Drosophila melanogaster: one gene and its partners. The protein of the gene in region 2 interacts with the protein of the main gene of each other region in a pairwise test. Each region holds a gene or a part of one and is shown on either strand. Other genes may lie near its edges.

What was found.
Region 1: the proteins of CG14937 (region 2) and SkpC interact in a two-hybrid assay, tested with the Drosophila melanogaster proteins (2 studies listed by BioGRID).
Region 3: the proteins of CG14937 (region 2) and SkpA interact in a two-hybrid assay, tested with the Drosophila melanogaster proteins (2 studies listed by BioGRID).

The regions. Positions count from the first base shown.
Region 1 is NC_004354.4:19,814,455-19,817,263, reverse strand, and holds SkpC (SKP1-related C), read right to left. Parts: upstream 1,193-2,809; 5' UTR 1,127-1,192; coding exon 650-1,126; 3' UTR 564-649; downstream 1-563.
Region 2 is NT_033779.5:11,791,880-11,795,879, forward strand, and holds CG14937 (uncharacterized protein), read right to left. Parts: upstream 2,208-4,000; 5' UTR 2,169-2,207; coding exon 2,147-2,168; intron 2,068-2,146; coding exon 752-2,067; 3' UTR 533-751; downstream 1-532. Other genes in the region: Tsp33B (tetraspanin 33B), read right to left, coding at 1-424.
Region 3 is NC_004354.4:654,159-658,553, reverse strand, and holds SkpA (SKP1-related A), read right to left. Parts: upstream 2,441-4,395; 5' UTR 1,770-2,440; exon of another isoform or gene 1,456-1,769; 5' UTR 1,445-1,455; coding exon 956-1,444; 3' UTR 655-955; downstream 1-654.

The DNA of each region.
Region 1 (2,809 bases), on a different chromosome or scaffold from region 2:
GTAGGCCGCCCCCTCCCACATTCACACACAGATGTGTGGGCAGCAACTTAACTTACAATAAAGGACATTGCCCAGCCTCCTGCCACCCACCACCCGCCTCCCCACCCCGCAACGGTATGTAAAGTGCGTAAGTTGTGTCCAAGGGTTTGGAATACGAGGATTGGGACCCTGGGCTTGGGTTCATTTGGGGGTTTTCTGCACTATTTTACATACGTAATGCGAACTTCATGGATGCAGAGCTCATAAGCGCCAACGGCCAAGGCTTTTGGAAATTAGCGTGGCTGCCAAATCAGGAACCGGCTTAAGGAGCACCAGGATTCCGGGATTGGGGTGCTATGGAGTGGAGTGGGTCGGTGTGTGGTGTGGTGTGTGGTGTGTGCTTGTATCCCCGGGCGGCTTGGTGGCAATCAACTGGGAATAGAGCCAGAGCACTCCTTTAGCCCAAGCGAACATGAAACGATTTAAAAAGTTATGTTTTATGTGTTCTTGTTGCCAAAGTAAACTGTAAACTGAATATGTTGATAAAATACAATAGATATGCTTTCAAAAATACTCGTAATATCATATTTATTCTGGTGAAACAAATAAGTTCTCAACAAAGGAAGGTTCCAGGTGTCCCAACCGGATTTGCTCCGAAAGAGACTGTGCCTCACAGGTCTTCGCCCAACTGGGCCGTCCTGCTCGGTATTTCGTCCGGGATGTTGAACGTGTGGCGGATCTCCTCGGGAGTCTTTCCCCTAATCATATTGGCCACCGTCTTGCAACAGAGATCCACTAGGCCCTTGATCTCCAGATAGTTGGCGGCCAGTATGATTTCGAACAAGGTGGGTTGATCGACGTTAATAAAGTTGGCGTCCCAGGCTGAGATGTCATGTGGGCTTTGCGGGCTCAACTCCACGCCCTCCGCTCCATGGGCATCATCGTCCTTGTGGTGATAGATCCAGGTCAGAATCTTGGATAGGATGAACGCGTTCACCTTGGGCAGCGGCACAATGGCATTCTCGTCGTTCTCCACGGCAGAGACCTCCAACATGGTCTTGATGGTTTCGGAGAGCTTGGCGGCTCGGACTTCCGTTGAAAAGATCATCCCATCCGAGGACTCAAGCTTGATGGTGGGAGCATCCATTTTCGGTTTGCCTTGCCTTTCTATTTGCCAAACTACGTTCAAAGAGATTCAGAAGAACAAGATGGGATGATTGATAGAGCACGTGCCAACTGGACGATTCGAAAGTTCAAAGAAAAAAGAATAGAGAACAGAGTGACCAGATGTGATCACTGCGGAATCACTGTCGTCAAGTGTGTACACACTAGAAATTGGAAGTCTTAACATTAAGAACTGTAGATTCGCTTTAGCTTTTTTATTGAGAATCGCGAATCGTGTTTTATTTATCATATCAGACCTTAAAAGTGTAATAAAAAAAAGTGTAATATGAATTTTAAAACCTATATGAATGTTGGGTAAGTGCTCAATCAAAAAATTTCAAAATAATAGTTCCGGAAAGAACCCCGTAAAAAATATTTTTAACAGAGGGAACTGGAAAATAGCACGTGGGCTTACATTACTTGCTCTAATTTTTCAAAAAAACTTTAAATTAAATATATATTTTTTCATTTGAAAAACAGACGGACAGAAGGCACTTTCTACCTGTTACATACTCATTAGCGATTCTAACATTCCCTTTTACTGTATTATTATTGTTTTATGAAACACTCCAATTATGTGTAACTTGCTTTCCATAAAATATATACACTTAACAGAATCAAAATTTTCAGTTACCGTAAAACTGTATTTTGAACCGAGTTCCAAAATAATATATTAATATTAAATCCAAGATACAAAGAAGAATTTCGATTTGCTAGCTTTAGTACTTAATTACGTACTTAATACGAGGATGAGGATGCAATTCGGCCAAAAAAGTGTCCGTTTTGGATAGCAAAAACAAAGTGCGAAAATACCATTATTCGAGTGAGTTTTCCTAGCCGCCAAACGGAACGCGATTTAAGTTTTTTTTTTTGTGTGCCAGTTGACGCAAAGGCTCTAACCTATTAGGCGGTCAGCAAAAAAATGAACTCGAGTCATGCCGTCTTGTGGAGCACCCTTTTCGAGCCGTCCCGGGGATCACCCCTTCCCATCGATTGACAGCAGCCGCACATAAACCAAAACCCTAAGATTTGTATTTAATTTAAATGCTTAAAAGATATATTAATTAAAAAAAGTGAGCATGTGGACAAGAATAATTTTAGGGTTAGAAGACATGAATACAGAGGGAGAAGTTTCTGCTGAAGTAAACATATTGATAAATTCTATCGGACCTAAACCTATACTTGCGTGAAAGATATCAAACTGCGAATGTACACTGAGAGAAATTTTCTGAATAATTATATCCGCAAATATTTGAATTATTCGCAATAATTCCTTTAAATGTGAACCCAAGGAGGAGACTTATTTTATATTACTTTTGTATTTTTAATTTTTATTTAATTTGCCACGCCCACAAACCGCACAAAACTGCCACGCCCACACTTTCGAAAAACGTGTTGATATTATTTCAAATTTTTATTAGTCTCGTAAATTTCTATTGATAAAAACAAAAATTTTGCCACACCCACTCGAACGCCCTAAAACCGCCCAACCGGTCACGCCCACACTTTGGAATAATTTTTTAAAATTTTTATAATTTTTTTTTATATCTATCGATTTTTCTGAGTAACGGGTATCTGATAGTCGGGGAACTCGACTATAGCATTCTCTCTTGTTTTTCCCAAAGTTGAACAAATTCTATACAGATTAACGCGACAAATGAATACA
Region 2 (4,000 bases):
GGAGTTTCCACTCGGGACACGAGTAGTACATGTCGATGCCGCGGGTCAGCGAGGTGTCCGCCGCATTCTCGAGGACATCGACACCCCGGTAAAGATTCCAAACGCACCCGAAACCGGAGGCAATGATTACGCAGGAGTAGAAGGCCCACACGGATAGCAAGAGGCGAATGTTCGGCGTGCAGCGACGCCGCCAAATTCGCCGCCACATGGCAATGCTGCAGAGAAAGGTCACCACCACCTGGGCGCCAAACACGTAGATCCCAAACAGATAGCCGTAGACCAGGCGGCACTCAATATCCGATAGATAGCCGGTGAGCACGGTGTGGTAGTAGGCGGTCACCACCAGGATCAGCAGTCCGATCACGGCCTCGGTTATTAACAGCAGGTGGAGGTAGACGGAGGCTCGGCGGAAGGGCTGGCGCATTTGGTCATCCTCGTGGGCATCGATCCAAAGTTTGGCTTGTCGACGAGGTTTTAGCTCTGAACTCGAATTTCATTTGGATTGACGCTGATTGCAAGGACTTGGGTGTTTGAATTTTAAAGTGTACTACAACTTGAATTTAATTTTTTTTATCCCTAAGGGCAGTAAAAACAATGATGCATTGAAAAATCGCTTTACAAATATGTATATTTACATCTTTTTATTTGGTAAGCAGTTGATAAATGTATACACTTAACTATATTTCAGTTTAAAACCTTTTCATTTTGGAGCTTGATCAGTTGGAGCATATCCCACTCATGGGGCAGCGGTTTACCGCACAAAGCTAAACTTGAGTACGCCAGATGTGTAGTCCGTATTGGGTCCAATCTGTTTTGCATCCACCTTTATCAGCCTTATGTTATCAACGCAGCGCGAACTTTGAACTATTTCCGGATTGATATCGCTATGCCGGATCCACAGCTCTAGAGGGCGAATGCGCCAGCTTTGCTTGGCCAAAATGGCAATACACCTCCAGACGAAGGATTCTCCATGGCAGAAGGTTCGAGTGATGTCGAGGACTCTCAGCTGTCGACAATTGATCACGAATTCCAGCAGGCCCAAAGGACTCTCCAACTGATAGCCACACAAATGGAGTTCGGTTAGCTCACCCAGTTGACTGGCTAGCTGCCGCAGTATCTGATCCCCCAGGCACTGCACCTGGACGCCCTCCTCCTTCTCCTCCTCTTCCTCTGGCTGGCTGTGCAGCTCCAGTCGCGTCAAGTGACTAAGATTTCCCAGCTCCCTGAAGAACCGGCCATAGTCGTGCAAAACTCCACTGAAACTAAAGGCCTCAATTTGTCGGCCATCGCCGGGAGGACTTGTGGGACTAACTATCCTCGATAGGACATCAAAGACAAAGTTCCTGGAATAGATCGACAGCTTTCGCAGGTTTGGCAATGTCAGTAGTTGCTGCGTAATATCCGACTCCATACACACGTGGTAATCCGCAATCTTGATATGCTCCAGTGTGGGACACAGCTGCAGATCCGCCAGATCACAGCAGTTCACCTCGTCACAGTCCTCCATTATGTCAAATTTGCGTAGTCGCAGCTGCCGGAAGATGTCCCTAAAGTGTTGCGATTCCAGAAAATGGCAATCATGCAGGCGGAGATCGGTAAGCTCATCCAGGTCGCATAGGTATTTTCCGGTAATTTGGCAGCCTCTAAGTTTGAGGCTTTTTAGATTGGGAAATACCCTCTGCAGCATTCGCACATCCTCATCCACGAAGCGAACGCGTCTCCGTCTATACACATTGCCCAGCCACTCGAAAGAGTGAATCCTCTCCAGCGTGTGGTTACTGAGCAGTCGCAGTCTTCGGACATCCAACTGCTTGCAACTCAGGTGCTGCATGTGCGGAGCCAGGGCCAAGATGAAAGCCACAAACTGTCGGGAATTGGCTCCCGAGCGTCCGAACATCTCGTCCTGCAGGACAACGTTGCGAACACGGGTCTCCCAGAGCATGTGCACTACGCCCGCCAAGCGCCTGTTCAACCTGCTAATCTGGAACTGCTGGTACGTGTCCAGCTGGCGGATGATCAAAGCCAGGACATCGTCATTCAGCTGGAGCAGCGTTACTGCAGTGGGTTCTAAAAAGTTGAAGGACGATCGTCTTAATAGGCTCAGTTGTATTGTTTTTTTTTTTTTCGTTTTTAGCCAATTCCTTACCTGTATCGCTTGCGGACGTCATCTGCGGTCTGTTCTCGATCGTGGTACTTGGAATACTAATGAATTCACGCAGTTGCCACGGTCAGTAGTCCGATGCTACCTAGTGCGAAGGTCATTTAGGGGTGGGTTTCCAGGCAGATCGGGCGGAATTCGCGCTACCTAAACGACTTATCCTTTTGGAGATGGGAAAACGAAGCGATAGTTTTCGGGGTATCCCAGAGATACGAAATCATAATAATATCCTTAACCAAAAAATATAATTCTACTCAGGGTTACTCAGTTTCTTGTAAAATCCGGTTTTATGCTTATGCTGCGCGTTTTTGCTGCTCATTTATTTGTTTTGTTTAGTGCTTACTACTTCATAAATTTTAATTACATTTTACTCGTAACTTGTACAATATATACTATATATATATATATTTCATTTGTTGTCCAATTTCTGTCGTATAGGCATATATATTTTAGGTATATATAGTGTTGTATTGTATCTGATTTATAGTACATTATTGTTTCTATTTAGTATTGTTACTGTTTGTTGCTTTTAATGTTTACGTTAATTGGGGCATTCCAAGCGTTTTCTTCAGCTTCTGTTAATTTTTCTCCTAGGAAACATTTTTGCCGCTGTCCCAGCGTTTAATCATTAAGGTTAATGGGTATGTGTCTGTCGATCAGTGAGTGTGGGTTGTGGAGAAAGTTACCTCTATTCTCACGGCTTGCACTACGCAACTTACAAGTAAATTATTTCGTTTGTTCATTAATATTGCAACACAAGTGAATTGTCTCCATAAACTTGCCTTTCACGTACTACACATACATATCCGTTATATATTAGTCAATAATCGTACAATAATATATATCTCTATATGCATTCTATATACTGCGCTCTATACACATCACCAAAAATCCAAAAACACCCAAAAACTAACACGGATACTCAACTACATAATTATAGACGTGTGATAGTGTGTGTTTGCGACTTCGAAAACAATTATTTTCAGTGTGAAAGCAAAATACATGCATATCAATGATAATTTCATTTTCAATTTTCAATTGTTCCCTGCATTCTAAGTGTATTCAAAATGTGCACTTTGCTGCGATGATCGTGAATCAATAAAATTAGGTTAAATAAAACCAAGTTCTGTCTTTAAATGGTTAAACAAACAGTTTTACATTTTCCGTTTATTCGTGTACAGTTACAGTTTGTTAAATTAAATTAAAATTGTATTTTAAGCATTTAATTCTCGATAATTAAATGTATAAAATGTTGCATTTAAAAGGAAGCATAATGTGTGGGTCGTGTGTCTGTCAGTTTGTCTGTGTATTGTTTTCTTACTAAATTATTAAACTTTGACTCGTGTTTAATATACTTTTTTTTAGATTTCTCTTCCTTTTTTGTAAAATTTAAAGCAGATATGTTGTTGCTTGTGGCGCTTGGGGATTTCTCGTTAATTGTTTCACTTTCTTTTATTTCGTTACGGCTTAAACTTGTTCTTAATGTTTGTTGTTTTCAACACAAGCACAGTTAAGGGTTATAATTAATTTTAGAGTTGTGCCTAGTCGTATATATGTATATGTATGGGTTGTTGTTGTTGTTGCTTGTTAACTTTAATAGTGGGGTAATAACTTGTTGTTATAGGTTTAGTATTCCATATATCATAATCGTAATTGTAATTGTAATCATAATGATTGGGCGACGCGCCCAACTAAAAACTACTCGCACTCCCACGCGGGAACTCCTATCTCCATTCCTTCGATCCGTGCTTTCAATCATTACTTTTAGTAGTTCAACTAACATTAAATATAATAACTTGTTTGTTTAATCCCTTTTCATTATCTCGTTAGTTGGGTCTGCCG
Region 3 (4,395 bases), on a different chromosome or scaffold from region 2:
TACTGTTTATATATCAGCGGACACCTAAAAATTTGTATTTCAAATCATTTTTAGCTCAACCCAGTCTAAGCCAGAATGGAATGCGCACAAGATAATTATCTTTCGAAGTATTCATAATTTCAAAAGCAAACAAAGACAAGGTTAATATGAAAATTATAAATATCCCCCCGTTCTTCGATTCTTACAAAATTACTGCTTTCTTCTAAAATCCTAAAACCATGCTGTACCCCAGACGATATAAAAAAAAGATATATAAAGCGTCACAAATCTAATTTCCACACCCGTCGTAGCTTTTTAAAAGCAACATGAAAAGCTTTTTAAGGGCTGCTAAACGCTCCGCATATGAGAACATGCGTTGGCGCGCATTTCAATTGCACACTAAGTGGCAAAGTGGCAGCTACAGTATTACTCGCTATTCGCCGAAAGCGTGATCTTATGAATGTAGTTTCTATAGATAAGATAATCTAAGATATATATGTACCTTCTTGGGAACACGTAAAATTTTACCGACTGGACCATAAATGGCATGCGTATCCATTTCAAACGCTTGCAAACGTTTCTAAACACAAGATAACGAATAAAGAGCACTTCTTAATTTGAGAAGTCCTTGGACCCTAACCCCTCCGGGAAGCCCACAAAATAGGCTGTGTCTTTGTGTTGGGTAGTTATATTTATTAAAGTGAAATCAAGTGTTACTCCAATAGGTTAAAGAGAGTGTTACAATCTCGCATATGTATGTATATGAGATATATTTACGACAAAAAATGAACCCCGCGAATCAAATCAGCAACAGATCATTTATACACAATTTAAATCGAGTCTCTGCTGGGGTTAAAAATAAAAAAAAATGTAAATGAAAGTAGCAACTAAGTAAAGTTGCAATGCTGCAAATCCAATTCGTTCCCGAATCCCCTAGCTGTTTCAACTTAATGTTGGTCCCGCGAAATGCCGCGCTTTACTTCTCCTCGCACCACTCGTTCTCCTTGCGCACCTGCTCCTCCTCGGCGGGCGAAAAGTCCTTCTTAATGTTGAAGGTCTTGCGTATTTCCTCGGGAGTCTTTCCCTTAATCATGTTTGCAACAGTCTTGCAGGTGAGCTCCAGAAGGCCCTTAATGTCCAGATAGTTCGCTGCCAATATCAGCTCAAACAGTGTGCCCTGGTCGACTTTTAGGAAATCTGCATCCCATGAGATAATGTCGTCTGTGCGCTTCTCCTTGCTCTCATCATCCTCCGTTGGCTGGGGGTCGTCCTTGTGGTAGTGAGCCCAGGTAAGCACCTTGCGAAGAATCGTCGAATTCACATTGGGCAACGGCACAATGGCATTCTCATCGTCCTCCATGCCGCAGTCCTCCAGCATGGTCTTGATAGTGCCGGAGCACTTGGCGATCTGGATATCCGTGTCAAAGATCTCCTCATCCGAAGATTGCAACTTGATGCTGGGCATTTTGGGCTTTCCTGCAGTTAAGTTCAGTATAAAACATTAGGTTCTAGTTGAGAAATGTGTGGCAGTGCAATCAGTGTGTTTTTTAACAGTGTGTGGATCCCAATAGTCATTTCAATGCGTTTGCTTCGCATGCACCAAGTCGTCAATTATTGATAACAGATGTAAGCATATAAGCATGCGTGTAAATGAATATAAGCAACTAGGATGCAAACAATCATTTGTGAATTTTGTATGTTCATATCCCTGCAGTTTGCAGAGTCGCTCTCTTTAAAATTCAAACCGACTAAAATGAGGTCATATCAGATCAAAATTTGTATCGTATTACTCTTGCAGGTTATGCCTGTGTGGAAATCACCGTTGTTTTCGTACAAAGATAACAAACGATTGTGCACTTTCGATGTTTCTTTCGTGATGATTCAACGATGAAATGGTGATGAAGGGATAAGTAGAATCGAAACATAGAGAACGGCACTTTCCAGAAATGCTCACCCACACATCCACTCACCCCCACACAAGCCGACTCTACCACAGATGGATGCGTGCGTATGTTCGTTTTTCTTGTGGTTGCGAAAGCGTTCTTGCTTGCTATTTGTAGGCTTTTTATTTGTTTTCCGACTAACCTTACGATGATGCCTTTAAACGTACTGACACTATTTCCACGCAGGCTCCAACTGAGATATAAATCAACACACCAAATTCACAATACTCACGTAAAAAACGAAACGGCTATAGTGACCAGATGGCGAAACTCTAAAAACACCTCTAAACGTCTTTATCGAAGGCACGAACAACAACTAGCCACAATGAAAGAAAACTGGCGGGAACCAGGTGGACCTGGTAATGGTAACTTGCAGCACAGATTGGTGGCGAAGTCGAAAGCAGAATACGCATTGATAAATCTGAACACTTTCACACCGAATTGCACAGTAAACGGAAATTAATTTCTCTGAAAACAAATTACACCGATACTTTCAAATGGCGAATAGAGAATGGTGAGCGTCTCCGCTAACTGCGGTGGCAGTTTTAATCGTAGCAATCGATGGCATTCAATTATCGATACATATCGCACTGACTTCAGTGGTCGAAGCATCAACGTCTTTTTACATCACTAATCCGAGTATCGCGGAAAAAAAGCAGCCGCATTTTGTAAACTAAGTCCGAATTAGAGCTGATACAAGTCCCGACTTATTCGTCAAGAGGAGCGGCGGTAGCAAATAGCAACAGCGACACTTGGTGCAAAGAACGCAGAGGAGAAAGAAGTGAAAAAAGCATACATACATACGCACGTACACACGTCTCGCTAGTAGAGGGAATATATGTATATGCATACGGCTGGGTTTACGTGTGCTTGTGTGTGCTACAGCCGCTTCTAGGCGTGAAAGAGCGAGGGATACATTCTCTTCCCATACTCGCGACTTTTGGAGCGTCTCGCGAGCGAAAGAGAAAGCACGAGCCATGGACGGCGGTTGGAAGTTTTTGTGGAACAAAGGCGTCAAGAACTAAAATGATTTGGGACTGCAAGCGCGATTTATTTTGGGTACGCAGCCAAAGCCAAGCCATCCAAAACGGAGTCCAGCTCCAATCCAGTGTGTCGCCGTTTGTATATGTGAGTCTCGACGAAAAGCCGTGGAAAGAGACGGACACACGCACAGAGAAGCAGCAGACAAAGCATCGTTTTGCGAGATTGAGCGAGAGGCACAATATCGCCTTAGTTAATAAATTCATTTAAGGTAAATGCAGACAACAAATCGAAAAAGTGCAAAAAAAAAATCGGAACAGCATGAAGTGCATAAACACAGCAGACTGTGCGTGCATGTGTGTGTGAGTGTGTGTAACAGGCGCCGCCATTTTTCGTTACCATGCAACCAGCCAGCGTCTAGGGTTGGCAACCGCTTCGAAATGCTGTTAACAACAAAAAAAATTGGCGAACTCAAATTACAAAGCTACATCCACCCAGCGAAATTTATTGTAAACACCCGTTTTTCGGTTACCCCGCACACAAGTGTACTTAATTTGCAAGCCTTTGCGCACTTGGCAACCCTTCATCTTCCATTCTCACTGCGCATATGCCTCCCTCTCTCTCTCACCTGCGTTATGTGGTATGCGTTTGTAAACAGCTGAGAGAGCAATTTGCAAACGACATTCGTTTCCATTCAGAACAAATCGACCAACAAACAAATATTCAATTCCAGCGATGTTTCCCAGCACCACCCACTTGTGTTTATGATAGTTTATGCCCAGAAAGGTATTTCAGTTGTTGCACAGACTCAAGAAAATACAAGATTTGCAATTACTGTCTGCTGCGCATGCAAATCGATAAGACATTTTTGTTATGCTCGCCTTTTGTTCACCAGCATATAAATATATACGCGTACCCATTCATTTTAAATATTTTCGGCAGTAAGTGTGTGTATTCCAGGATTACCGAAGTGCCTTTTGTTTTTTGTGGATCAATACTTTTTTTTACATGTGCTTTCAAGTTAATTGATTTTTGTTAAACGTGTGTGTGCATGGGCTAAAAGGGCTTGGAATAAGTGCGAGCGAGAGGGATGGCTGTCGACGACATCAGTTACAAGCCCCCTCTTTCTCGGTCTCTCTCTCTCTCTTTCAAACGCGAAGCCGTAGGAATAAAAACTAAATTAGGGCCATTTTCAACGGAGCGAATATATTGGCAAAATGCCGGAACATATGGTTTGCGGATTGAGGATTATTGCAAGTCATCCAATCCTGTGAGAGAGTGTGTATGTATGGGTGCAGGACGTTTGCCTTTGTCCTAGTCTTGTCCTGAAAGCTTATGTCCATCTCGCTCTTTGTCGTGTTCGCAGACAACAGCGGCGTTGCCAGATGTAATAAAAGAGCTTATACCTGTCAGTGATTCAAATTCCAAAACAGCTGACAATTGCCGGGTTGATTGGGTTTGGTGGAATTGGTATATCTAAGATCGTATTAGT